Ovis aries: one gene and its partners. The protein of the gene in region 3 purifies or fractionates together with the protein of the main gene of each other region. This does not show direct contact. Links are inferred from orthologs where the notes say so. Each region holds a gene or a part of one and is shown on either strand. Other genes may lie near its edges. The genes, in order: GATAD1, MTF2, RBBP7, SIN3B, ZBTB2, SUDS3 and SAP130.

Region 1 (4,295 bases), on a different chromosome or scaffold from region 3:
TTCTGCTGTTATTTCTGTTACCTTTAGCTTAAAAATTGCTGAGAATCAAAGGACAAGCTCCTGATAATGTGGCTAACAGAACCCTTCTCAGAGCTTTATTGCACATAACAATCTAATTTAAAAAAGTATCTGTGGCTTTAATGGCCTGAGCACAACAGAGGTGGAAATAACAAACAAGTCTCCTCAAAGACATTTTCCATCTCAACTTAACTATAGCTATGATAATACAATCAGAACTAGTTTTCTAACTAGTTTTCTGAACCAAGGCCAAAGGACGCTTTCTTGGGAGTTGCTAGTAATTTGCCACCACTCAATCATCAAAATTCCTTCTTAAGCTGTAATACACACTCTTACGCCACAACACAGTAACTACGCCTTCCCAAATATGTCTTGATATCCCTGAAGAAAGTGGTTGCCAGAGAAATTGATATTAAAATACTTTCAGAAAACATATTCCACCATACATAAGAGGAAAAGGGTGTTTAAGTGTGTACAACTATAATCAAGTGTTCACATATTTTGTCTAGTCAATAATCCCATTTTAGAAAACAAATTTATTAAAATCCTAAATAAATTAGAAGCAACTACTCTCAAGAAAGGGGCTTCCCTGGTGGCTCAGAGGTTAAAGTGTCTGCCTCCAATGCAGGAGACCCTAGTTCGATCCCTGAGTTGGGAAGATCCCCTGGAGAAGGAAATGGTAACCCACTCCAGTATTCTTGCTTGGAGAATCCCATGGACGGAGAAACCTGGCAGGCTACAGTCCGTGGGGTCGCAAAGAGTCGGACCCGACTGAGTGACTTCCCTTTCCCTTTACTCTCAAGAGAAAGAATCCACAATCTGCACAAGAATATAATGCAAGGCCTCTCTGAGTTTTTTAAATGAATACACCCAACTTCAGAAAATGCCTCTACTGGTGAGTGAAGCATTTCTGTTCTGAAAGCAGAGTACCATACTGAGGTTTAAAAAACAAAAACCCAAAAAACAGTATCGAATGCTTTGCCCAGTGTGTTTGACCACTGTCCCTTGTATTTACAAAACCAAAAATAAGCTTTCAGTTATCCCAGCACAAGTCTTTCAATGATCTATTTTCTTAGAGATAAACATTTAGTAAAACTTTTGATTCATATTCATCAAGTTGATCACTGTAAATCAGTAAGAAACATTTTTCTGGGGCCATATAACAAGTAAATACGGAACTGAATGAATTCCAGTGTTATTATTTACTTAGAGCTCTATGGGAAAAAAAATACCATGCCCATACCAAGAACTGTAACTCCATCTCATCTTTTGCATAGAGAACCCAATAAAATGTGCTCAAGATTTAGGTTTCTTTTAGAATCATGTTTTATGTTCCCCAGGGGGAAAAAAAAACTAAAACAAGGAAAAGAGGATATCGTTAACTTTATAACAGTAAGCCTCCTAAAAGAGCTCCTTCCCTTTCTGAAAGCCTGGATCAGTCCCCAGAAGGCTACAGAAGAGCTGCCAAGAGCAGAGTCCAAGTTCAATGGTGAGAGATGAAGGCGGTGGTTGGTCACACTACACACAATGCCAGAAGGCGGTGGTTGGTCACACTACACACAATGCCACAATTACAGTACAAGACACTGTCCACAATCATCTTACATTTTTTAATTTAAAAATATGTCTTCTCCCTTTCCCTTTAGTGGAAACTTTCTTTTCAGCAGCTGGAGCAGATTTGTATTTAGTGTTTCTGAGCCGAGCAGACCTCCTGTGAATTTCCTGCTTACTCTGTTACATAAACAAAGAACAAAAAAAGAGAAATAAAAAGTGTAGAAAGGTTGCTGTCCTGATACAACCATCTTACAAGGATCCCAGAGTATGCACTTTAAACGAACATTCAAAAATAAAGTAAGAGTGCAACTTTTCTTTTCATGCTGGGTAATAATCAAACGAACTGGCTTAATTTAAAAACGGAGAGCCACAGGCAAACATCTCCAGACTCCAAAAAAGGTGTGAACTACTTGTAAAAGGGCAACGGGCAGCAAGAGGAGTCGGTTTATGCCAGGGTAAGCCCATTCATCGGTTGCGTTTATAACACAAAAGTCCTTAAAAATTCAACTCTCCTAAGCTAGAGAATGGGTGTGGTATGCCACCTCCTGCAACGGAACACATGTTACTATTGAAAATGACCTGATAACCTTAATAACATGACATTATGACAAAGTAAACTTTATTAACAGGGAAAGAGGTCCAGTAGCCGTGACCCCGTAGACATCTCTGTGTAAACGTATGTACCCTGAGATGTCCGGTTGCTACCCAAAGTATCACAGGGGAAGGATTTCTGAGGGGGTTTTCCTCTTCCTGCTTCTCTAGACTTTAAACTTCTCATGAGAAAAGGTGCTGATAAGGGGCCAAACCAACGACGACCTTCTCGTCGCGGACGGGAGGGTGCCGCCCGCCGCGCCGGCCTCCGCCCGCGGGAGGGGCCGCAGGGGCTCACCTGCTTGCCGCCCCCGCCCCCGTTGCTCTGCGGAGGGGCGGCCGAGGTGCTGGCGAAGGTCGCGGCGCCGAAGCCACCCCCTGCGCCGCCGCCGCCGCCCCCTGTGCCGCCGGCCACCCCCGGGCAGGAGCCCCCGCCGCCTGCGCCGCCCCGGCCTGTGCAGTGGTGGCAGAGGATCTCCCCCTGCGGGCCCTTCTTCCACATGGAGGACGACGTGGTCTTGCAGACGCTGCAGGTGGGCTTCAGGCCCAGCGGCATGGTGGCCGGCTCGGGCGGCCCCCGCGGGCGCAGCGACACGGGAATGGCGACCGCCGGCCTCGGCGGCCCGCGGGCCGGCCTGCCACTCCCACAGACAGAAGAGAGGCGCGGGCGCGGCGCCGAGCTGCCCAAGCCGGGACCGGGCCGCGGCCGCCGCCCCCTGGAGGCAGGAAGCCGGTTCCGCCCGCTCCGCAGCCAGCTCCAGCCTCGGCGGCCCGAAGCGCCAGGAGGCGGGGCGGGGCGGGGCGGGGCCTGGGAGGACAGCCTGGCCTCGGCCTTAGGGGCTTCCGGTGATGGGCGGGGCGGGGCGGGGCCTGGGAGGACAGCCTGGCCTCGGCCTTAGGGGCTTCCGGTGATCGGCGGGGCGGGGCGGGGCCTGGGAGGACAGCCTGGCCTCGGCCTTAGGGGCTTCCGGTGATGGGCGGGGCGGGGCGGGGCCTGGGAGGACAGCCTGGCCTCGGCCTTAGGGGCTTCCGGTGATGGGTGGGGCCGCACACTGGCCGCTCGTCCGACCGGAAGTGCCTTCCCTGGAATTACTGGGACTGCGGGGAGGTTCGGAGAAGGCAATGGTACCCCACTCCAGTACTCTTGCCTAGAAAATCCCATGGACAGAGGAGCCTGGTAGGCTGCAGTCCATGGGGTCGCCACTAGTCAGACACGACTGAGCGACTTCACTTTCACTTTTCACTTGCATGCATTGGAGAAGGAAATGGCAACCCACTCCAGTGTTCTTGCCTGGAGAATCCCAGGGACGGGGGAGCCTGGTGGGCTGCCGTCTATGGGGTCGCACAGAGTCGGACACGACTGAAGCGACTTAGCAGCAGCAGCAGCAGCAGCAGCAGCGGGAAGGTTCACGAGCTTTTCGGCCTTTTAGGCCTACCATTGGCTTATAAAATGCCTCAGTTCAGCTCAGTCGCTCAGTCGTGTCCTAAGTGAATCTAAATTCCAGATAAGCAACTAATAACTTACTAACGCCAATGTATCCTATGCAATGTTCGTTGTTTATCTGAATTCAAATTTAACTGGGCAGCCTGTATTTTTAATTTTCCAAGTCTGGCTCTCGTACTTAGGACCTCCTTACACTCTTTAAAATTATAATTTACACCCCCATATACGTTTGCTTATAGGGGACATTTGAGTATTAGGAATTGAAACATACTTTAAACCCCTGGAGACCACGCATACGTTCACTGGCTCTTGAGTGGCGGTGTCATCTTGAGTCCCATAGCCTCTGAGCATTAGGCCGGGGAGATAGTGCTGGTTTGGCATTGTTGGGAGGCAGATTTGGCCCCGAGAACCTCCAGAAAGTGTCTTGGGAGCTCCCTGGACCGCACTTGGGAAGAGCTGACCTAAGACAAGGGCATCATGAGAATCCAGCCTTCTCAATTAATGCCGCTGGGCAGTACCAGCCAGGCCAGGGAAATGAGTCTTTACCCAGCCTCTCTCAGTGGAGTGGTGGTTGCCTGCCTCTCTTCGTGATCCTGGGTTTCCTACTCTTGAAGTTCTCTCACACGTCTTGATGAATATGTTGGTGGAGGGGTGTGGGAAGAAGAAGAAAGCTGTATTGACTGCCTTA
Region 2 (3,500 bases), on a different chromosome or scaffold from region 3:
CAGGAAAAACTGAATTAAAAAACAAGGTAAAGGAACAGATTTATATAATACGCTAGAAAGAGGTGAATGGAGAAAACAAGAAATGACTATCCCTCCTCACCAAACTCGTTTGGGGAAATAAAGGTGGAAGTACGAGGAAAGAGAAAGTAGAGAAGTAGAGGAAGAAAGTGTAACTAAAACTATAATCCAAAATCTTATCCAAGGATAAGATGGGTGGGGTGTACATTTATTTTTTTGGCAGGATGATCAACATAACATTTACAAAGGACCCCTGGACTAAAGAAATTCATACATAGGGCCCAGAATGAACTGAAAATGCCTTTAGAGAAAGTTGAACCATTATCTGATCACATCAAGTGAAAATCTGATAACTACCACAGACAGAATGTCCTATCAAAATCAAAATAGGAACAAGAAAGATTGTGGAAATCTTTTTTCTAATTTATAATATAAACAATTGCTAGAAAAAGATTAATAATAAAAATCTGAAAGTAACAGGAATAGTATTATTTTCCTTCATAAAAAAAAACCCTTAAAGTACTATATACTTTATTACTAACTCAAATGGATACACAGCACTGACAACCCTCTGTAATTATTTTTTTCTTATTCACCAAGATGATTAACTCATACCTTATGTATTGGCTCCTTAAATTTCTCTCTCAGCTATCTTTGCCTCATAATTTCATTGAGAAAACAGAAGCTACTAGGCAATAACTTCAGTCATCACAGAATTAGCATTTGTACTCCACTGTCCAGTACTATTGCCTGGAAAATCCCAGGGACAGAGGAGCCTGGTAGGCTACATGTAGTCCATGGGGTCGCAAAGAGTCGGACACGACTGAGCGACTTCACTTCTTTTTCTCTCCATTTCAACAGAAAGATGTTAAGTCCTGCTTTAGAAGGTCAATCCCACATTTAGATTCCCACATCCTGTCTCTTATGTCTTCTCAAAGACTTTACAATATCTTTAGTTACCTCTCTTTCTTCTGTATCATTCTCCTCCACTGACATACAGAAACAGGTTACAACTGTCTTATATCTATTTTTAAAAAACCATCACTCGATTCAGCTTCCATTCTATTTGTCTACTTCCCTCCCTTAACAATACAGTGAAACTACTTCTGAGAGTCGACAACACATACCCTTCCCACTTTCTTCATTCTCTTTCAAAATTCTTAACAAGTATTTCCTTTTTTCCCCCTTTCCTGTATTACTGTCATCATCATTATTTTGAATCTTCCCATGTCCCTAATTGTAGAAAAAGACCAGTTTTGACAGTAAGTTGAGCAGTGCTGGATTCAATCATATTGTCCTACTGCCATCTGACTTTTACCTTTAACACTTAAGAAAAATAGTTTTTGTCAAAATCACTAATAACAAAATGTTATCTAATCCAATAAACATTTTTCTCTCATCTTAACCTGCCTCTCAGCAACATTCAGTACTGTTTAATAGACCCATATCTTTCTCAAACACTCTCCTTCACTTGGTTTTCATGACATCAAACTTTCCTAGTTTCCTCCTATTTCAATGATCGTTTTCTAGCCATCTCCTACATTTATTTCACTTCTTCCAAATCTCTAAATAATACCAGGACATTATTCTGGGCCACATTCTCTTCTTTTCTCTCTCTAGGTAATATCATCCATTCTCATGGTTTTAGAAATCAACTTCAAAATTTATTATCATGTGTCCTGAGCTCCTGACTGAACACACCCAATTGCCTGTATTTAACATCATTATCGCTTAGATATTCCTCATAAGAATCTTGAATTAAATGAGTCTGAAATGGAAGAATGCTTTATTCACGTCATCAAAATCTATTCTTCCAGTTCTTGGTAACAGACATGACCACCCACTAGTTGCTCAAACAAGGTATCTAGGCATTGTATAACTTTATCTTGCCCTTCCTTTAAAATTTTAATTCATTAGCAAAGCCAACAAATTATGCCCCCAGTGGAGATCTTGAATCTATTTTCTCTCTACTTGACTGCTATCACCTACAACTGCACAAGCCACCATTATCTCTCACCTAGAAAACTGAAAGTCTTCATTTTTTCTTGTTTCTACTTCTATAGATTTGCTTTCCAAACAGATCCAGAGAAGTATTTTAAAAGATAATTCAGCGTACATACATCTTTAAATAGCTTCCCATTATTCTGAGAAAACAACCGAAACTCCTTATGAGGTCTACAAAACACATGACCAAGCCCCACCCAACCTTTCCAGTACCCAATACTACTCTCTGCAGCCCTTGTTCACACCTTAGTAGCCTTCTGAAAGTTCCTAGAACATGCCTCATAGCTTCACACTTGTTATTTCTGCTATCTGAAGTATTCTTCCCTTTATTCTTCACATTGTTAGGTCATTCTCAATCTTTAAAGTTTCAGCTTCAATATTATCATAAACAAGCCTTCTTAAGCCTCTTTCTTAAAGCAGACCCCTATATCTCTATCCATCCCAGTACAGTCTAAATCTGTTTGCTATTTCCTAAATGGTATTAACATGATCTGTAATTATTTTGTTTACCACCTTTCTTCCCCATTATAATGTAAACCCCACCAGGGCAGAAAGAAGGTCTTATTTATTATATCTCCAGCACTTAGACAGTAAGTTGCCTGATAAACAGAATGAATGAACAAACGAATGAGAAATGAACAAACAAATGAATAGATACTTATGCTGAACAAAATCAATAGGGCCTATTCCTGGAAAGCCTTAGATCTATAGTAAATAAATAAACATCTAGCATTAACTCTTTGTAACTTGTTCAAGCGAGAAATTTTAAATAGGATAACAAATCAGGGTCACTGCCACTTGTACTTCCAAATATACTAATGAGGCTTAAGTAACATACATTTTTAGTTACAAATGAGCTAAAGAGAAAAACTAACCCACAGATCAACTTTTACCTTGATTCAGATATAGGTTTGGATGCCTTTCTGCCTTTAATTTTAAATTCATGGGAGGTTCCTTCAGGTTCTTTCTCTGCTTTGAAAGCCACATTTGGTGGCACAGGAGGAACACGAATTCGCAACCCAAACAAATGCTTCTTCTTCTTTATTTCTTTCCCAGACATAAACCTAAATTTAAAAAACAATTAACTAAAAATTTAAAAACTGAACACATATACATGGAAGACCCTCAGTCGTAAAACACATGAAAGTCTACCCAATACTACCCCGTTGCTCTTGTTTTTTCCCTTTGCTTTACTGGATTCTTATCTGCCCCAGAGCCAGTCCACGGTAGGATATGACAGGGGAGTAGGAGAGAGGAATAGTGTTAGAAGGAAGAACAGATGTCCGCTAGGAACACATGTCCGCTTTTCTTTTCAAAACGTAGCATCTAACTTTTTAAAGAAAGAAGAGTACAGAGTGATATCTCTTTTGGTCTCAATGTGCTTTTCCACATTTTTAGTCTTATCTGTTACAAACACCTCAAAAAAGGTTTAGGGAAAACAGAATTCTATTGCAGAGTGAATAGGTGAGGAGAGAAAC
Region 3 (4,124 bases):
ATGATCACCTAACTGAATTTAAGAGCAACAGCTCAGAAAGTGCAAGTAATCATTTGGAAGCATGTTGTATGTATACAGAAGACCAGCCAGATGAGGTTGAGTAGGGCCTGCCTCTCAAAGTGCCAGGCTGTAAGAGTATCCAACATTTCTACTGTCCTACATAGTGATAAAACACAATCACAGTCCCTTCATAGTCCAAACAGAAACCTGCAAAGCACCACTCAGCCGTCTTCGACACACAAGAATGCAGGCTGGCTGGCATTTTGTTGCACTCCCAGAGCCACTGCCCATCCCACAACCAGATCCCACTTCTTTGTATGCAAAGAACCCCATGGAATATATAAAGTATTTTCTGTTAAGTTCCTAAGTGTTAATATAAAAGTAGTATCTGGGCTGAGAAAACACAGATTTATTATCTTTAAAGTGTTTTACACAAAAAACATAATAGGTAATGTGACTAAACAGCTTTCATTGAAATACAAATGGAAACAGAGCTATTCCACCCTAACAACTTATTTCTGAATAGGAAAGGGTGGGAGAACCACCATCAGTCACCACTTACTGTGTACTCACTCTGAGCCAGCATTTTAACATGTGTGATCTTATTCATTTCCTCAGATGTAGGCTGTAAGAACTTTCAGCATCTCCATTTACAGACCAGACTATTTCAGGATAGAGACTGATCAATTTGCCCTAATTCACAAAGCTAAGAAGCAAGGGGCAGGATTCAAATTCAGATCTCTAACCTTAAAGCCTGGGCTCTTTTCTACTGTCAAACATCAAAAAGATTCAAATTAAGTTGTTTAACTTAATCTGCTTAATAGGAAGACATAGTCAAATACCCGTGCTGCACTACATCAGAACCTCAATACCCTTAAGCATTTGATGGTCAAAGCTGTAAATGTCAACACTTAGAAGTCTCCATTATTTAGTTCTTGGCTCCTCTTCCCACATCTGTGTATTTACATTGAGATTTTTGAAAAGTCCACTAGAAGTCCCTAACCGTGTAGAAGTCAATGTTCTCATATGGAAAATCTGGCCACTATATGAGTTTTATACCAAAGTAATTTACTCTTATTTTTAAAAGTTGTTGCAAAACTTCTAGAGTTTAATAAATCCTCATTAAATGACATACACATAACAATCAAATTTAATACATTTTTAAAGTACATGGCCAGGTTCTTACTAGGAAAAGTGCAAGTGTATGAGAACCATAACCTAGTGCAGAGGTTGCCTCAACTCTGGGGCCACCTGGTTTGCATTCCAAAGCCCGCTCCACCACTTACCAGCTGTGTGATCTGGGGCATGTTACTTAACATCTCAGCCCATTTCCACATCGATTAAAAAGAAGAGGATAATAAAAAATAATTATTGTACTGTTGTATTAAATCTAATAGGACATAAAACTCTTCAGATGTGCTCAACAAATGTCAGCAATTATTACCAGAGAAATTTTACAAAGAGGTGAAGACCAAAAACAACCTCAAAATGTATCATATTATACCACCTTTTCGTTGGTGAACTGCTGCAAAACTGTTTTCTCCTTTGCCAATTAAAACGTATTCGTCTTGTGGGCTGGTTACAAAGAGGTATTCATTTTGCAAAAATTCATCAAGCCATACACTTATGATTCGTGCACTTTTCCCACTGAGTTTTAAAGAAATCCATTAGTTTGGGGTCCAAAGAAAACCCAGCGTCTACATTTAAGTTCAAGAAATGTCAAATGTATCTGGTGCATCCTACAAATATCCTTAATCTCAGAACAGATTCTCTGTCCGCTTTTAATTCCACATTTATACGTCAGAAACCACCCTGTAAGTCAGTTTTGAAAATAAAAATCACCTGCCACATCACCCAAAGGCTTAATCGATTACTTGTTTATGTTCTACGTATAAGACGCGAAAAACTAGGAGATTCATGTTAACAGCAAAATTTATGCAAAATAAGAGTTGACAAAAACCCTTACTTAGTCACTTCAGGAAGCCACTGAACGGTAAGACTCGGCCACTGAAGAGCATGGGTCATAACCAGGTCATACAGAAACGGTGTATTCTTCTTCCAGATTTTATATTCTTCATTGATGACACGCTCCTCCACAGTATCTTCAAACACTGAAATTTGGACAAATCCCATACGATTAAGTGTCTGAAAGGGATCGAAATCTATACTGGAGGTCACCTCGAGATGGCCACACCTTATCTCCTCTTTCTCTTAACCACTAAATTGGACACGACCAACTCACTGGTCTTCCAGAACGCGAGGAGAATATTAACACCAGGAAGCTTATTTTTTTGCAGTTTGAAATCAATACCGCCTGCGTATACAATATTGGGCAATTAATTACATAGATATCGCAATTGTTTTGCCGGTTACAGCTGTTCGCACCTGTTCCAAGATGACGACCCGTATGTAAAGGGGCTCCCCGACCCACCCGGCGAGACGAATCCACGTGTAGCAGAAACGCATCGGCCCGCTCCCCCCATCCCCCACCAGAAGAGGCCTCAGCTCCCACGAAACCCGAGCCGGCAGCCATAAGTCGGCGGGTTCCAGAATCCCCCGGACAAGGGCCGCGACCCCGAGGCGGTCGACGCGCGCGCGTGGAAGATGGTGCCGTGCCCGCTTTCCGGCGACGGAGGCCGCCTCCGCCCGGGTGCAGAGCAAGCGCCGCCGCCAGAGGGGGGTGACGCCGGGGGGTAGCGGGAAGGGGGCCCAACCGCGGCCCCGCGCCTGGCTCCGGAAGTGCTCGGAGCCCTTCGCGCCGCGGCCCCGTCCCGCGTAGGCCCCTCGAGGCGCGCGCCCTGCCTCGCGCCCGGCCCCGCCCCCTGCTCCTCACGCCAATTCGCGCCTTTCGCCGGCGCGTGCCGCGGCCTCGCACGCTCACCGCCCCCCGCCGCGCGCCGCCCCGCGGGGCCTCTTACTCTCTTTACTCGCCATCTTGCGTCGGGTCGTTCGCCCCTCGCCGCCGCCTCGGACTCCCCTTGCTAGCCAAGAGCAGCCCAACCACAAGCGCTCCTGCCTTTCCCAGGCGCGTCACACAGTTCTAGCTCTCGAAGCCTGAGCTCCGTCTTACAGCCTGGGAGCTCCCCAGACGCTGCGTCCTTCTCTGCTGCCTCCTCCCCGCTTGCGGGTACCGAGGTCTGAGGCGCTCTTCTCTCTCTCTCCAAACTTGGAACGAGACTTTTCAACCCGCGCCTCCCAGCCCGCCCAGGCAGCTGAGCGCAGGCGCATCCGCCCTGGGAAAAGTGAGAGGCGGTGGCTTGGGTGGGCCTCGGAGCCAACGGCTTCGTCTTTTTGACCAATGACTGGCGGCAGGCAGGTTTAACGCGGCGTTCGGAGGCGGGCTTTTGGGGGTGGGTGGGGCGTTCCGCGGCAGGAAGTTGGCGAGGCGCAGGCGCGAGGGCTCGCCTGGCGCTCCCAGGGCAGGCCGCGGGGGCGGATGGGGGCGCGAGGGGGTGGGGCGAAAGGAGGCGCGGCGTGCAAGCTGCGTGGGGGCTGCGAGCCCCGGGGCGGCGAGCCCTGGGGCCGCGGGACGTGGCTGCTTGCTGCGGCTTTGGCGGTGGGGGTGGGGGGCTGGGGGGCTGGGAGGCTGCTGCCGCTTAGCCAAGCAAAATCTCAGCGCTAGAGAGAAAAATGGTTTCTAGTCTCGAGAGACTACTGTGCCCTCAAAGTCTCCCTGACAGTCACGGACATGCATAAGTCTGTGCACTCTGAAAGTTCTCCCTCCAGCCGACTGGCCTTTTCTGGGGCCTGGTCGAGGCGAGGTGGGATTGTCGGAGGCAAAGGGGGCCTTTAGCAGAGGCCGCGGGCGTTTTCCGACTGTTCAAGCCGCTGGGCCTGCCTTGTAGGCTAAACCTGCGGCCTGTTCAAGCACAGGCCGCCAGCGCCCCGAGGCTGATTTGAGTTTCGTCTTTGTTAACAAATTCGAGTCTATAAGATGATATTTGAGCCCTGTCGTACTGCAGAGGATTTTGTTCCTGCATTGCCATTCTTGTATTCTTCCTAGCCTTGGGCCTTGCTGAGTCATTTGTAACCTGCGGGGGTCCCAGGGTGACCCCACCCTAGGCTGGCGAAGCTGGAAAGAACTGGGTAGAGCTGACCTGGGACCGGCTTGCCTGAGCCTTGCT
Region 4 (4,217 bases), on a different chromosome or scaffold from region 3:
CAAAGACGGCCGGTCACACACGCGTCTCCACCACTTCCTCCTGTGCGCTGCCAGGGTGCTCAGAGGGATGACCGGCCCGAGCACAAGCGGGGGCCGCCTAGCGCTCCGAGGGGGAGCCTCAAACCCAGACCTTGGTGGCTGCGACTGCCAGTATCTTTTTTAATCAGAACACAGTTGCTTTCACAATGTTGAGTTTCTGCCGTACAACCAAGTGAATCAGCCACACACACCCCCTCCCTCTTAGACCTCCCTCCTCCTCCAACCCCACCCCATCCCTCTAGGTCATCACAGAGCCCTGAGCTGAGCTCCCAGCGCTACACACCGAAGGTCCCAGTAGCTAAGCGTTTTACACATGGTAGTGTGTTTATGCCAAACCTAATCTCCCAATTCACCCCACCTTCCCCTCCCCCACTGTGCCCACACGTCCGTCTTCTATGTCTGAGTCTCCATTCCTGGCCTGGAACTACGTTCCTCTGTCCTATTTTTCTAGATTCCACATGTTAATACATGCCCTAATATACCAATACTGGTTTTCATCTTTCGGACTTACTTCACTCTGTATGACAGACTCTTAAGTCCATCCACATCTCTGACTGTGACTGGACATAAAACTACGTTCAGAGAATGCCTCCTTGACACATACAGACACACCCACTCTTGATTTAAATCTGCCAAGTGGATCAATCTGGGATGCAGAGGCTGCTGGGGAAGGTGTTTCAATTCACTCTGATTTGCGCTAGAAGCATTTCAAGAAGATCGGCCCTTCACCTGCTTCCCTGCCAATGAAACACACGGGATATACTGCCTGGCATGAGTACCCCCAGGGCCAGGGTGGGCGGTGCTGAGTCCAGGTCACTCACACCACTGCATACCTGGCTCGACAGAGGCGACTGTATGTTTAACTTGCCGTTCTTGGGAATGTCTATCCTGTAGCCGAGAGGGAGGAAAGCGTTGAATCCAACAATGAGGTCAGGGTGTTCGTGGAAGAGCTGCGACACTCGCCGGATGACACCCGGAGTATCAATGCTGCAACAAAGAAGACCAGGAGTGGGCAGGAGGGTCTTGGGGGGCAGACTGGGAACCGAGCTGACTTCTGACTCTCTTACCCGTCCCAGGACACAGGCTGCTCAACAGACAACGACGCACCCTAAACTGTGTGACTGCAGACGGTGGTCCACCACCAAGGCAGCCAGGCCTGGGCTCCCTGTATCTTCCTGCCAAAACCCCACACAACAGGCGCACAGCACAGCTCCCAAAAAACCGCAAGCACGTGCGCTAGGCTCTGGAAACGTCAGGAGAGCCAGCTGCACATCCTGAGCTCCAAGAAGTGACAGGAAGCCAAGTCCTCTAAACAGGGAGACAAATTCACTTCATACGAATCAGCGATCTGCTGTTCCCAGGAGTTGTTCCCAGCAACTGACGGTAATGCATAAATGTCAAAGGCCCTGCACGTATGGAAACTGCGTAACAGCTCAAGGAGAGAGGAGATAGAGTTCTCCCTCGGGGCTGCAGTCAGGGCCAAGGTCTACCATCGGGCTTGGGAAGGAAACCAGGTGAGCCCTGCCGTTATTACTTCCTCTGTGGGGAAAGCACCACGGTGTAGATCTGATACAAATCTAAATCAGAAGGCATGGAGTCCTGGTCCCGCCTCTGCTTCTAACGTGAACCTGGGTGAACCCCTGGCCCACTCTAAGTCTCAGCAAGACCCCTGTCAAACAAGACAGGGGATCGAGAGGTCCCTGATACATCTCTCACCCCCTTGATCCTGTGCCTATGAAAACAGCTAATGTGTTTTAAATGCCTTCTAAGTGCCAGGTTCCTTATTAAGCATTTTGTGTGCGTTATTTCCCAAGCAGGCCTGGGATGAGGGCGAGGCAAGTAAGGCACTCACCTTGGGGATTAAGATTTGAGGGGGAGAAAGTGCCAAAACATTCCTTAATCTGGATAAGTAACATTTTCATGTAGTGCTTGGGGCGGGGGGGGGGGGGAGCGGGGATCTAAATTTTTAAAAAATCCCGGACGAGCAAAATTTATCTTTAAAACCCGACACTCTGAGTAAAGACAGGATCCCACCCTGTGCTTGCCTGACCGCCTCACTCGCCTCACCGCATCCCTGCCCTCCTTCCAGGAATCCCCACAATAGCTCCACAAGGAGGGCACCCTTCCGTCCCGTTGTCTGGAAGAAGGACCGAGGCTCCGAGCAGCCACCACCTGCGCAAGGTCACCCTGTTGGGGGCCGGCGCGGGCTGGCGGCTCCCACGGCGCTCAGGCCCACTGCGGCCCAGGGCGCGCCCTGGGGCGGCCCCCGGGCAGGGGCCCCGCAGGTACCTCTGGCTCTTGAACTCCTTCATGATCTCCAGGAAGCCATTGTAAGTGGCAGGATCGCTGCCGAAGCGGATCTTCACCTGGTCCAGGTAGGTGAGGGCGTCTTCCACCTGCGGGGAGGGGGAGGGTCCCGGTGGGCCGCGGTCGGCGCAGAAGGGGCCGGGGCCGGGGGTCCCTGGCGGGAGGGGTGCAGGCCGGGCTCCGAGGGGCGGAGGCAGGGGGTCGCGGGTCCAGGGCCCGGCGGAGCGGAGGCCGACGCAGGGCCAGGGTCGGGCGGGGCCCTGGCAGGGGGCGCCAACCTCCGGGGACTGGACGGCCGGGTTCCCCAGGGAGGGCTGGGGCACCACTCACGTGCACCGGCAGTTTCTCGTGGCCCCCGGAGCCCGAGCGACCCCAGCGGGCGCCGCTCAGCCCCCGGCCCGCAGGGCCGACGCCGCCGCCGCCGCCAGCGTGCGCCATGTTGGAACTCGGAGCCGCGGCCCGCCCCGCCCCCCGCCCGAGGGTGGGCCGCGCATGCGCTGGCTCCGCCCCGGAGGGCGTGGCCTGGCGGCGGCTGGGACGGCAAAGCTCCTGGAGGGACTAGCTGTAGGATCTTACCCAAAAAACTGAAAGGCTGCTAACGCTTCAAGTACCACCGGTGGGCAAACCAAGGGCTGGCCTCTGCTTTTGTCCGGCCCCACAAGTAAGCTGAGAATGCTTTTTACAGTTTTAAAAGTTGGAAAAACTCCGGTAGTGCAGATTACTCCGTGCCACGTGAAAATTCTATGAAATTTAAGTTTCAGTGTCTGTAAAATTAAGGTTTACTGGAACGCTGGAATGCCCACTCGTTTACTGGGCACCTCTGGCTATTTTTGCGCTTTGACAGCGGAGTAAATAGCTTCTACAGATGCTAAGATCTACACAGCCTGATATATTTACTGAAATAGGGTTCTGGACCCCTGCTTTCTAGGGTTGATGTAACAACTGGGGGTATGGACACACAGCACCCCAATACAAGGCCCTGCATTGAAGTGTTGCCAAAATGCTTTTTTTTAAGATGTTTATTAATTTATTTGGCTGCACTAAGTCTTGATTGCAGCATGCGGGATCTTAGTTGTGGCATGCAAACTCTTAGCTGTGGCATGTGGGATCTAACTCCCTGACCAGAGTTTGAACTCATGCCCACTGTGTTGCGAATGCAGAGTGTTAGCCATTGAAACACCAGGGAAGTCCCTGCTAAACTGCTCTTGACTTAGTCCTGATCCTCCTCTCCTCACTTCTCTAGTCCTGTTCCCATCGCTTCCCCACAGGACCAGTTTGGGAGCCTCTTAACCAGTTTTTCCAGTCACAGTGCTATCAGGAACTGAGATCATTCCACAACTGCTTCCAAATCTCCAAGGTCTTCCTACTTCTTATGAGTTAAATCTAAGCACCTGTATGCAGCATTGAAGGCAATCAATTGTGAACCTAAATTGTGAACCTTTTCTTGCAGAATTTTCCACCCAAGTAAGCTGCCTTCTATCTGTGCAGAAACTCCTGTCAATGCCTACTTAGCCTGGCTGCTCCCTGACCCCATGCGTCAGCCGGAAGCCCTATTAATCTCTTCATTACACAAAAAGCACCCTATATATCCTGCAAAATACAACCCAAATATCCTCTCTCTCAAGAAACTACCCAACTTCTCCTCTGCCATCCCACGGTCTCTTGTACATCATCTGCATTTGGTATCTCTACTTGTGAAGAGGTGCAGGAAAGCTGAGAATATGCTGGCAACGGGTGCATCGTTTGCCAGGGGTCAGGAGTAAAATTGGGACTTGCCTGGTGGCTCAGACAGTAAAGCATCTGCCTACAAAGAAGGTGACCCGGGTTCAATCCCAGGGTGAGGAAGATCCCCTGGAGGAGGGCATGGCCAC
Region 5 (4,074 bases), on a different chromosome or scaffold from region 3:
AAAGTTATACAGCTGTGTATTGTCTTCAAGAAAGAAAAATTAGTCATCAGTAGCACCAGGTACAACCCGGTTACCAAATGATACACAGTTAGCAGGGACATTTCTGTGTGTTAAATTAATTCTGTATTAAGACAGTAAGCTTGCTTGAAGTATTTTGTGAACTATGTCACAGGGCGCTGTGCGTAGGTTTCACTACATAAAATAAACCAAAATGGGTTCCACATCAAATCAAGGAGCTTGTAAGCAGGAAAGCATGCTTTAAAACCAAAAAGAAGCCTAGGGAACTGCCGCCTCCATTTCCAAACAAATGAAGCCAGTCTTAAGTCTTCAAACTCCTAGATATGTAAAACAAAGAAATCATTAAATGCATTCCTCAAAGGACAATATCATTACTTCTAAAGATACAAATAAAATTCTAGCAAAACGGCAATGACACAAAAGTAAATCTTAAGATGTTAAAAATCACCACCAAACAATACTAAATTCCATGCCTGTCTAGTTGCCATGTTTCAGGAACTCTCTGTTAAAAATATTTCAGGACCTCTAATAAATCTGACAGAATGGCCAACTCTAGAATCCACTCTAACAGTATCTCACAGACCAAAAGTTAAGTTATCTAAATAGTTTCTAGGTAACAAACATGCTTTGCAGACTTCGATTTTTCTGGACCAAAACTTCACCAGCTAAAACACAACTGCTGCCACAAGCATCAAGTTATATCCTAACAGAAACGTCTCACACCGGTCAGTAAGGAAGCAGTTCTATCTCCAGAGACACCACAAACGAGCATTTCTATTCCAGCTTGACTTCCTGACTACCACTGGCAATCTTTTTTTTTAAAAAAGAGTATTAGTTCCACAATGAGCTCCTTGATTCATTCTCAAGTCCGTTGCAAGACTTAAGGCTTAAAACGTATGCTAATTCGGGCAGCAGAGGGACAAAGGTGCGGGCAGAGAGATGTCAAGCAGGCCGCCTGTAGAAGGATCCCAGCAGGAGTTCTCCGAGCCTTGCCGGAGCATCTCCAGGAGCGTCCTACCTAACGCTTTATGTAAACATGGGGCTTGTGACTCAAGCCTCAAGCCCCAATAGGTGGAGAGAAGTTTCCTCGCCTTGGCTGCACATGGTTTGCAGAAGTTTGGCTGGAGCGTAGCGCGGAGCCTGGGTGGGAGCGGCAGCGTACTTAGTGCTGCAGGCGGCGGCGGCGGCGGCGGCGGCAGAGCAGCAGGAGGCGGAGGCGGGCGGGGGGAGGGGAGGCGGCTGGGGGGGGGGGGGGGGGGCTCTTGCCGCCACAGCTCTCTCGCCGCCTCTCCCCCCCGGCGGGAGCCGCTCTCAGCCTCTTTGCACTAGTCGCTCCGCTCTCTCGGTCATGTGACCTTAACGTAACCGGACAGGAAAAGCCCCGCCGCCGCCGCGCCGGAGACACCGACCGCGGCGGCAGCAGCAGCAGCAGCGAGAGGCAGAGGCGGCGGCGGCGGCGGGGAGCACGGCCAAGGCTGCCCAGCGGTGCCTCCTCCACACCGCCCCCCTCCCCGCCGCAGCAGCACCGGCGACAGGTAAGCGCGCACCGCCGCCGCCTCCCGGGGCCGGTGCCCACGTGCCGCCCCCACAGCCCAGGCTCCGGGAAGGCGGAGGGCGGGGGCCACCGGAGCGCGCAAACGGTTCCGGCAGCGGCGGTGGCAACAAAGAAGACGAATGACCCCCCACTCTCCAGTCCCGGGGCTTCGGGTGAAGGCAGGCGGAGGGCCCGGGCCACACGGGGACCCGGTTCTGGGAAGCGAGGGCGAGGGGGCGCCCCGCGGGGGGCGGGGGCGGCGGCGCCTGGCGCCGGGGCTCTGGCCGCCTGACAAAACCATCCCCCGGAGCCAGGCGGCGGCGAGTCGGCGGCGGCTCCATCCGGGGCTTTGCGGGAGGGGGAGGGGACGGAAGCCGAGAGGGCGGGCGGCGGAGCGGGGGAGGGAGGGAGGAAGGGGAGGGGGGCGATTCGCGTTCCGTTCCCCGTCGCCGGTCCCTCCCTTCCCGCCGCCACCGCGAAGCGCGTCCCGAACGGCGGCGGCCGGTGAGCGTCCCGCGCTGGAGCCCCGAGAGGCGGGCCCGTCAGGTGCGTAATCCTTCCGACGCCTCGCCGCCGCCTCCTGCTGCCGCCGCTGCCGCCGCTGCCGCTGCTTCTTCAGCGGCAAGGCCGCGAGCTGCGGAAGTGGGTTTGGGGGAGGGGAGCGGGGAGGGAGGGGGAGGGGAGGGATCCGGTCCGACCGGAGCAGGCCCGGCCTCTCTGGCGCTTCTCCCAGCTGCAGCGGCTCCTACAGCTGCTGCCGCTACTGCTGCGGCTCCGCCTCCCCGCTCGCGGGCGGGGGCGCGCACGCGCGCTTCCGGCCTCTTCGGGTCTCGCGCTGTCTCCCGCTCTCGCGCGCGCTCTTCCCCTCGCCCTGTCTGGCCACCTCCCCGCCCCCGGCGCCGAGCTGTTGCGCCGGCCGGGGCGTTGCGCACGGCGTAGGCGTCGGCATTGTGTTAAACTCCGCGGGACTTGGGCGAGCGCGCGCGCGCACGCGGGACTGAGGGTGGCGGAGAGCGTGAGGCGCGGCCCGAGTGCGTCGCTCCTCCTCTCCCCTCCCCGCCCCTTTAGCTCCCTCGGGGCTGGGGGCGGGGCCTGAGTGCCCGGCGCCGCGGCCCTGCCGGGCCCCCCTCCGGTCCGGGCGGTCCCGCCCCGGCCCGGCCCCCGCCCCTTGAAGCGGGGCGGAGCGAGGCTGACGGGGCGGCCGTTGGGCCGCTCTGGGGCGGGCGGGGCAATGCGGGCCTCCTTGGGCGCTGCCCGGGGCCGCCCGCTGCGGCCTCTGCAGCCGGTGTGGGCTCGCTGAGCGGCGGCCTCGAGCTTCCGCTCCGCGGGCGATCTGCGCCTCGGATAAGACAAGACTCGCCCAGGGATGCGCTGTGGTTTCTTGGCTGCTTGGCCTTGGGCCGTGGGACCGGCCTCCGAGCCGCGCTCTCCGCAGATGTGGCCGTCACACCCGGATAGGACTCTGCGGAGGGGAGGTTGGGGCTCGGAGTCTGCTTCCCGGGGCCAGAGTCGTTTTCTCTGTGGCGAAACCCCCAAACCGTGAATTTTTAAACAAGGCTGAGAACTGGTAATGGCCGAAAATGCTCTAAGAAGCAATGTTGTTGTCACTTTTAGCTGGTAATGAATTAAGAGGGCAATGAAGAAGGCAAGGGCAGCAGAGCAGGCAAGAAAGTGACCGGGTGGAGTGAAAATGCAGTTATTGCTACGCCATTTACTGCACGAACTTCATCTGCTGAACTCCTAATTATGCCCTAGGGAAATAACCCAGACCCGTTGCTCCCCCCGCTGTCTGCAGTGTTCATTAGCTCTTCATCTTACAGCCCACTTAGAGTGTGACTCTCAAAAGTCTATTCATTTCCATAGGTTATTGTTTTAGTAAAGTAAAGCATTAAAAAGATCGGTGCCCTGGGGCTCAAACAGAACTCTGAGGTGCTCTGGATTTCCTTAAGTGGGCTGCCCAGTCCTCTCTAGGATGATCTCTGTGTTGACCCATTACCCTAATGGGTCACTGAAGTAGGGTGTAAATACCAACATCATTTTTAGTCTGAGGGGCTTGACATTTTAATAGAAAATCAGAAGTAAGTTTTAAACCCTCATTTCTCTGATTTATTACAAGCCAAATTTAATTGTTAAAGTATATTTTTATTTTGCATTCCAAGTAATCTTGTGTGTCCAGGGCGTTTTCAAACTGCTAAAAGTAATTTTAAAGACGCTTATGACTAATACTGCATTCCTTTAAACTGGGCGTTTCTCACTTAATTTGTGGTTTGTAGAAGTTTATTTTCTAGCCAAAGAATTGACCTGCTATTGAAACCATCGCAAGATCTCAGAGTACAAGAAGTGGTATAACAGTGGTATTAGTGTCGAAAGCGCAAGCAGTCACCAGTGGAGTCCTGGTAGAGGGTGGCAGAGAAACCACCGCTAGAGCTTTGCTGCGCAGACCAGCTGCCTGCTTGCCAATTTTAAAGCTTTTATTCAAAAAGGATGTAAATAAATTGTGCTCCCCAAACTCTTCAACTGGA
Region 6 (3,500 bases), on a different chromosome or scaffold from region 3:
TAAAGAAAGAGTCACTGCTTTGAGTTATTAATAAAAGCCAGGCCGGAAGGTTAAATCCACCCGTGCACGTGGGTGGTTTCACTGGATTCACTTTAGCAGCCCCAGATTTAAAAGTGAGGGGAGAAAATACAGTCCACTGGCACCATCAGTGAGTCACCTTAAAATCTCATCTACTTTCACAGTGCTTTCTAAGGAGGGTCATTAGTACAAATCAAAACGTGAGGAAAACCTCCAGCAGGACATAAAATATCTTAAAAGCAGTATACCCAGAGGCAAGGGCAGATGCTCATCTTCCCAAGTGAAACGTAGCCTGATAAATAAGTGTTCAGGCCAAGATGGGCAGCCCAAATCACACTCCTTGTGCTGAAGTCATTTAAAACTCAATGAAATGTGTTTTGCCAGAAATACCGTTTCACAAAAATACTTCACGCCACCGGCAAGAGCAGAAAGCAGTTCAGCAGACCTCTCGGCCATAGGCCAGGACTACTGAGAAAGAAGGAAGAACGAGAGCCTCCAAACTGACAAGGACACGGAGCCAAACATCATGAGCCTGGTCAGACGTGAGAGGCCAGTCCGGCACTGGGACTGTATCAGCCAGGATTCTGGCAAACACTTGCCAGATCCAGCGGACTGGGAGGGGCCCTCTCTCAGCAGATGTGACGTGAACTCTGACCAGCAAGGCCACAGAAGAGGAACACAAAGAATGCAGAAAACAACAGTCATCATACTTAACCACAGAGTAAGCAGCCTGAAAGTCACTGAAATTACCAGATGCTCCCAGACACTTGAAAGATCTCTGCTGCCACTGGGAGAAAGACAGTGAAATGCCTTCCAAATGCTTAGGTGGCTGGACACATCCCACCTGACCACGGTCTACACCGTGAAACCCCCGTCACTGTGGATCCTTTCTTTAGAAAAACAAAGAATTTTATTTTACTGCCTTTTCATATCCTGTAAATCTGAGGACGAAGCCTTAGGAGAAGGAAGACAGAAAGCGACGCAATGACAAAATGAACATCATCTGAAATATCACAGGGCTTTAGGACTCACAGATTCGTAAAGATGTTAGTGATAAATCTCATCATTTTTGAAGATGGTTCTTATGTGTGGGCTTGATCTTTAAAGGTTATTTGGTTTTCATTATTAGAAACATTTTTCATCTTATTTTGCCCCTTGATGTGTTGAGTTGTCAGGGCCTGCCATCTAGTGGTGATGTGTTCTGACAAGCAACCCTAGAAAACAACACAACTGGCCTTTTAGAAGGACACCGAAGAATCAAATGACAGGAGCAGAAGTCACCAAGATCAGGCTAACAGACAGATCCAGCCTTCATCCTCTACTGGGTTATTAACTCACTGTAACCTCACGGGTGGAACTGATTTACTTCAGGCACCACTAGGTCTCTGAGCATTTTTACCAACTTCACACATTTAATACTGGGGCTTTTTTTTTTTTTTTTTAAAGAAACCTCAAAACATTCAAAATAATCATAACTAATTTTTGAATTTTGGTTTAAAGACTGAAACTCAAAACATTATATAACCATTATAAATGGCAATTACAGAGACCCTACAATAACCCAGGGAAACATTCTCCATACAAACAAGTAGAAAGGCAGCATGAAAACATGTCCACCATGACTTACCCTGACCAACAGTATGCCTACACATGGGCAATGAATAAAAGGAAGAATTGAGAATTTAAAGAAAAGGTGGCAGGGTCCAGGTGACCTGACACCTAGCAGATGCCCAGTCACAGAGCAAACAGTAGGAAACCTTTACAAAAAGAGCAAATGCATGAATAAGGTTTTTCATATTGTTTTGCTATTTCCTTCCAAAGACCTCAATGGTGGCCTGAAGGTTTCAAACCATCTTCAATCTAAACTAGTAATGGTTCAGGCTACACCTCTCCCAGGCACATTCCCTGAAACACTTGTGCTGCAGGATGTGGTGTGTAACAGGGTGCACACATGCTCAGTCACTCACTCATGTCCTTCTCTCTGCGATCCCCCCAAGCTCCTCTGTCCATAGGATTACCCAGGCAAGAATACTAGAGTGGGACACCACTTCCTCCTCCAGGGGATCTTCCCAACCCAGGGACTGAACCCACATCTCCTGCACTGGCAGGCAGATTCTGTACCACTGAGCCACCAGGACAGCCTGTGTAAAAGGGTACCTTGGTCAGATAAACAGTACTGAGTAACATCTCATAAATTCACAGTGTACATTAGCGTATCAGAAGACCCAGAGTGCTACAATGACGAAACCCACTGATCTTAGTTATTAGTTAACACAGCCACGGCCCACACTCACCTGACCACAGAATCTTTTCTTCCACAGAACCCCTATTAATTTCAGCATGCAGAGGGCCCAGTTAAGGGGAGACAGAGGGGGACATAAACCCTGACCCCAGGCTACAGGGGCACCACAAAAGATATAAGCCTGCAGGTTCTAGCATGGTGGCAGCAGCATGATCAGAAGAACATGTTTTGGGGAACACTGCCTTCAGAGATCTAACAAGCAGCAGATATCCAAAACTCCTGACACACTTAACCTCCCTCCACCTTTAGTTAAGCAGCAGCCATGCTCTGAAATAATAACTAGAGACAGACCTGGCCCTCTTCCCAAACGGTTCTTTCGAGATACTAATGAGTAACCTATGTTCACACAGAACTTACCATCTTTTATCGTAGTACAGTTTGCCGTCTTCTATCCGAGCTTCAAATCTCTGGGCTGGAGACTCTGCAGGGGTGGTGGGCAAGTGTTCAGGAGAGGATGGGGATGCTGGAGGAACCAAAGAGATATCCCCATGACTAAGCATGTCACAAGCATGCGAGTCCATTCACTAACATGCTTTAAGTGAAATGCTATTTAAAAGGGGGTAAGGGTCCTCGTGATCCTCAAGTTCTTACCGTTGTAATAAATGGAAATTCAACAAAATTCTTGTACATCACATCCTCAAAACAACTCTGCGAGCAGGCAAGGCAAAGATTAACCTCCCCACAGAAGAGAAACTGAAACCTGAGGCTCAGGCATGCTAAGGATGTGCCCAAGGTGACTGGGGGTAGGACTAAAACACCACTGACAGTAAGAAGCTCCAGTGGGCAAGAACTGGAAAAATCTCTTTAAATTTATAAAAATTAAATGTCTAGAAATATTTATCAAGAGATAGAGCAGGTTACTGGGGTATGTATCGAGTCAAGCTAAAAGCGCTGATAACTAAAATGGGATCAAATCATCTAAATTCACAACCAGCCCCACCAGGCCTTCAGACACTCAGAACTTCTCTCCGGACCATAGTGGCTTTCAGGAGGGAATTATTTAGAGTGGCAAGAATCTTGTTTCCTTTCACAAGACTCACCTCATGGACGGATGTGTAAGTAATTGCCATGTTTAAAAACAACAACAACAAAAATGCCTTGCCAGTTCAGAGTTCTATTTTGCAGCCTAGCAAAGACCCTTGAGTGCTGCTCTGAATGAAGCACCCTAAACACTGGGCCT
Region 7 (3,500 bases), on a different chromosome or scaffold from region 3:
CGACTGAGCGACTTCACTTTCACTTTTCACTTGCATGCATTGGAGAAGGCAGTGGCAACCCACTCCAGTGTTCTTGCCTGGAGAATCCCAGGGACGGGGGGGCCTGGTGGGCTGCCATTTATGGGGTCGCACAGAGTCGGACACGACTGAAGCGACTTAGGAGCAGCAGCAGCAGCATAGGTATATAATCTATATATTTTGCAAGGAATTGCTCCCTCTCATATTGTTCCTGAAAATTCACTTGTTGCAGAGGTGTTTTCCGTTTCATTCATTCATTTATTCATTCATTTATTAATTCCACAAATATTTATTGAAATTCTATGTAAGATCCTATGCTAGCTCTGCTTTAAAATTGACTTATAAACAGATGTTGCTTTCAACAAGCTGAGAGTCTAGTAAGGAGATGAGGTGTGAAAAGATACTATAATATGCTCAAGCTCACAAGAGAGACTTGAGCAAAGCCATGCTGTTTCTGAGTTAAGAGGTTATTTCTACTTGAGAAGGTCGGGTTGGAGGTCAGGAATGATTTCCTAAAAGAAATGACATTTGGGAAGCATCTTTCAGAATGGATAGGGCAGAGCCATGGTAGGACTGGAGAAAAGCACATTTCTGTCTCTGAATAAAGTATTAACTAAAATATGTGCTTGAAAAAACAGAGTGGCTTCGTTTTGGTGGAAGCCTAGTGTGAGTAAGAATGCGAAGTGTGGAATAAGATTAGATCTTGCTCAGTACTAGAGAGTCTCAATGCCTGTGCAGGAGACACAGGATCAGTCCCTGAGGTGGGAGGATCCACTGGAGGAGGGAAAATGGCAGCCCATATTCCATGGGAGAAACCCATGGATAGAGGAGCCTGGCAGGCTGCAGCCCACAGGGTCACAGAGAGTCAAACACGACTGAGCACACACGCACACACGGTGTGGGTGAGAATATAAAGTGTGAAATAAGATTGGGTCTTAAAAAGGCTTGTAGTAGTAACTAGACTGCAGGTTCTATAGCAGGCAAGTGACCAAAAACTGTTGTGTAACAGAAATACCATGGGTATACTGCTCAGGAGGAAACTAGAATGCTCTGGAAATTGTCTATGTGTGTATTCTACAAAGGAAGAATTGTACTAGAACAGGGACTTTTAAGTTTACGTGTTCTATCACTTCATTATTCTTAATGCATAATAACTTACCTTTTTATTTGTCATTTATAAAACATTTTTATTATATTATTAAAATTGAAGTATTTGTTGTTCAGTCACTGAATCGTGTCTGACACTTTGCCACCGCATGGACTGCCATGCCATGCTTCCCTGTCCTTCACTATTGCCCAGAATTTGCTCAAACTCATGTCCATTGAGCCATCCAGCCATCTCATCCTCAGTCATCCCCTTCTCTGCCTTGCCTCAATCTTTCCTAATATCAGGGTCTTTTCCATTGAGTCAGCTCTTCACATCAGGAGGCCAGAGTATTGGAACTTCAGCATCAGTCCTTCCAGTGAATATTCAGGATTGATTTCCATTAGGATGGACTGATCTCCTTGCTGTCAAAGGGACTCTGGAGAGTCTTCTCCAACACCAGTTTCAAAGCATCAGTTCTTCAGAACTCAGCCTTCTTTATGGTCCAACTCTCACATCTGTACATGTCTTACTGGAAAAACCACAGCTTTGACTAGATGGACCTTTGTCAGCAAAGTAATGTCTCTGCTTTCTAATATGCTGTGTAGATTTGTCGTAGCTTTTCTGCCAAGAAATTCTAAAATTCCAAAATTGAGATATAATTGACATACCTTAGTTTCGCATGTACAGCATAATAATTCATTATTTGTCTGTATTGCAGAATAATCACCACAGGTCTGGCTGGCATCTGTCACTATACAGTTCCAGATTGGTTTTTTTCTTGTGATGAGGACTTTTTAAGATCTACTCTTAGGAACTTCCAGATTTAACTGGTATATTTAACTGTAATCATTATGCTGTGCATTATATCTGCATAACTTAATGTCTTTAACTGGAAGTTCATGCCTTCTCGCTACCTTAGCCTGTCTCACCCGCCCTCTGCCCTTGCCTGTGGCACCACCGGTCTGTTTTCCCTATCCAGGGGCTCGGTTTGTGATTTTCTGCATTTTAGATTCCATATGTATGTGAGATCAGATGATGTTTGTCATTCTCTGTGTGACTGACTTCACTGAGCACAGTACCCTTGAGATTCATTCATATTGTCACAGATGGCAGTGTTTCAGGTTTTTTTCCTTTTTAATAGCTGAGTGTTATTCCATGGTGTGTGTGCATACCATGTCTTCTTGATCTACTCGTCCACTAGTGGACATGGATTGTTTCCATATCTTGGCTATTGTAAGTAACACTGCAGGGAACATGGAAGATACGTCTATCTTTTTCCAGATTTGTTTTCTGAGAAGAAAAGTCTTGTTTGTTTTCTTTCCACAAATAGTGAGAAATCCCTTCTTTTTTTGTTTCTTCCTGGGAATGTTTGTGTTTTCAGTTCTGTTGTTGAGTCAGTTTTTAATGTACACGGTAGCTGATTGAAAAAGGACAGGTTGATTGTTCTCTCTCCCAAGTGCATATTTTAGAATTTAAAATTAATAACTACTGTATTTCAGAAATTCCTCTGATAGTGGTTCTTCTATCAATTAAAGCAAAGATTCTTGACTTGGAGGCATGGATAGATCGCAAAAGTTTGTATTAATTATTTCATAGTTGCCTGGCTCACATTTGGCTTTTAATAAATGGTTGCTTTTTCTCATTTTAATGCTATTTCTGCAGAAAGATCATCTCAAATTAGTAGAAAGTAAGGTGGAGAAAACATCAATGCTTAGAGATTTATATAGCACTTTCTTTTTAAATTGAGAGTTTAGATCTTGAACGTGGAAAAATTGTTTTGATTTCTGAGTGTTTTTCTCCTTGAGTGAGTGAGTGAGTGAGTGAAGTCGCTCAGTCGTGTCCGACTCTCTGCAACCCCATGGACTGTAGCCTAACCAGATTCCTCTGTCCATGGGATTTTCCCGGCAAGACTACTGGAGTGGGTTGCCATTTCCTTCTCCAGGAGATCTTCCCGACCCAGGGATTGAACCCAAGTCTCCCACATTGTAGGCAGACGCTTTACCGTCTAAGCCACCAGGGAGCTAACATTCTTGTCACTTTCTGCATCATCTGTAGTTTCAGCTCAGGCTCCAAACTCTGCCATCACAGCTCAGACTGGAGTAGGGGTGGCATCCACAGTCCACCTGAACCCCATGCAGTTGATGACAGTGGATGCATCTCACGCTCGACATATCCAAGGGATCCAGCCAGCCCCCATTAGTACACAGGGGATCCAGCCAGCCCCCATTGGCACCCCGGGGATCCAGCCAGCCCCCATCGGGACACAGGGAATTCACTCAGCAACCCCCATCAGCACCCAAGGACTTCAGCCTGCACCAATAGGGACCCAGCAGCCTCAGCCCGAAGGAAAGACTTCAGGTAATTTTAATTTTTTACATGGAACTTGGTATGGAGA

Evidence for each region.
Region 1: the proteins of RBBP7 (region 3) and GATAD1 purify together in Homo sapiens (affinity purification with mass spectrometry; 6 studies listed by BioGRID and IntAct, counting the BioPlex papers as one, with this or other methods). This does not show direct contact. The link is inferred for Ovis aries from reciprocal best matches to the Homo sapiens genes RBBP7 and GATAD1.
Region 2: the proteins of RBBP7 (region 3) and MTF2 purify together in Homo sapiens (affinity purification with mass spectrometry; 4 studies listed by BioGRID and IntAct, counting the BioPlex papers as one, with this or other methods). This does not show direct contact. The link is inferred for Ovis aries from reciprocal best matches to the Homo sapiens genes RBBP7 and MTF2.
Region 4: the proteins of RBBP7 (region 3) and SIN3B purify together in Homo sapiens (affinity purification with mass spectrometry; 5 studies listed by BioGRID and IntAct, counting the BioPlex papers as one, with this or other methods). This does not show direct contact. The link is inferred for Ovis aries from reciprocal best matches to the Homo sapiens genes RBBP7 and SIN3B.
Region 5: the proteins of RBBP7 (region 3) and ZBTB2 purify together in Homo sapiens (affinity purification with mass spectrometry; 3 studies listed by BioGRID and IntAct, counting the BioPlex papers as one, with this or other methods). This does not show direct contact. The link is inferred for Ovis aries from reciprocal best matches to the Homo sapiens genes RBBP7 and ZBTB2.
Region 6: the proteins of RBBP7 (region 3) and SUDS3 purify together in Homo sapiens (affinity purification with mass spectrometry; 3 studies listed by BioGRID and IntAct, counting the BioPlex papers as one, with this or other methods). This does not show direct contact. The link is inferred for Ovis aries from reciprocal best matches to the Homo sapiens genes RBBP7 and SUDS3.
Region 7: the proteins of RBBP7 (region 3) and SAP130 purify together in Homo sapiens (affinity purification with mass spectrometry; 3 studies listed by BioGRID and IntAct, counting the BioPlex papers as one, with this or other methods). This does not show direct contact. The link is inferred for Ovis aries from reciprocal best matches to the Homo sapiens genes RBBP7 and SAP130.

Annotation. Positions count from the first base shown.
Region 1 is NC_056057.1:10,524,294-10,528,588, reverse strand, and holds the start of GATAD1 (GATA zinc finger domain-containing protein 1), read right to left. Parts: upstream 2,801-4,295; 5' UTR 2,720-2,800; coding exon 2,462-2,719; intron 1,750-2,461; coding exon 1,624-1,749; intron 1-1,623. Other genes in the region: TMBIM7P (protein lifeguard 2), read left to right, coding at 3,324-3,340. UniProt on the Homo sapiens protein: Component of some chromatin complex recruited to chromatin sites methylated 'Lys-4' of histone H3 (H3K4me), with a preference for trimethylated form (H3K4me3).
Region 2 is NC_056054.1:70,329,513-70,333,012, reverse strand, and holds part of MTF2 (metal-response element-binding transcription factor 2), read right to left. Parts: intron 3,087-3,500; coding exon 2,916-3,086; intron 1-2,915. UniProt on the Homo sapiens protein: Polycomb group (PcG) protein that specifically binds histone H3 trimethylated at 'Lys-36' (H3K36me3) and recruits the PRC2 complex, thus enhancing PRC2 H3K27me3 methylation activity.
Region 3 is NC_056080.1:15,066,334-15,070,457, forward strand, and holds the start of RBBP7 (histone-binding protein RBBP7), read right to left. Parts: upstream 2,801-4,124; 5' UTR 2,534-2,800; coding exon 2,386-2,533; intron 2,112-2,385; coding exon 1,967-2,111; intron 1-1,966. UniProt on the Homo sapiens protein: Core histone-binding subunit that may target chromatin remodeling factors, histone acetyltransferases and histone deacetylases to their histone substrates in a manner that is regulated by nucleosomal DNA.
Region 4 is NC_056058.1:5,999,262-6,003,478, forward strand, and holds the start of SIN3B (paired amphipathic helix protein Sin3b), read right to left. Parts: upstream 2,801-4,217; 5' UTR 2,785-2,800; coding exon 2,677-2,784; intron 2,436-2,676; coding exon 2,329-2,435; intron 1,027-2,328; coding exon 873-1,026; intron 1-872.
Region 5 is NC_056061.1:76,246,035-76,250,108, reverse strand, and holds the start of ZBTB2 (zinc finger and BTB domain-containing protein 2), read left to right. Parts: upstream 1-1,274; 5' UTR 1,275-1,553; intron 1,554-1,978; exon of another isoform or gene 1,979-2,098; intron 2,099-4,074. UniProt on the Homo sapiens protein: May be involved in transcriptional regulation.
Region 6 is NC_056070.1:56,874,723-56,878,222, forward strand, and holds part of SUDS3 (sin3 histone deacetylase corepressor complex component SDS3), read right to left. Parts: intron 2,784-3,500; coding exon 2,678-2,783; intron 1-2,677.
Region 7 is NC_056055.1:117,480,446-117,483,945, forward strand, and holds part of SAP130 (histone deacetylase complex subunit SAP130), read left to right. Parts: intron 1-3,160; coding exon 3,161-3,463; intron 3,464-3,500. UniProt on the Homo sapiens protein: Acts as a transcriptional repressor. May function in the assembly and/or enzymatic activity of the mSin3A corepressor complex or in mediating interactions between the complex and other regulatory complexes.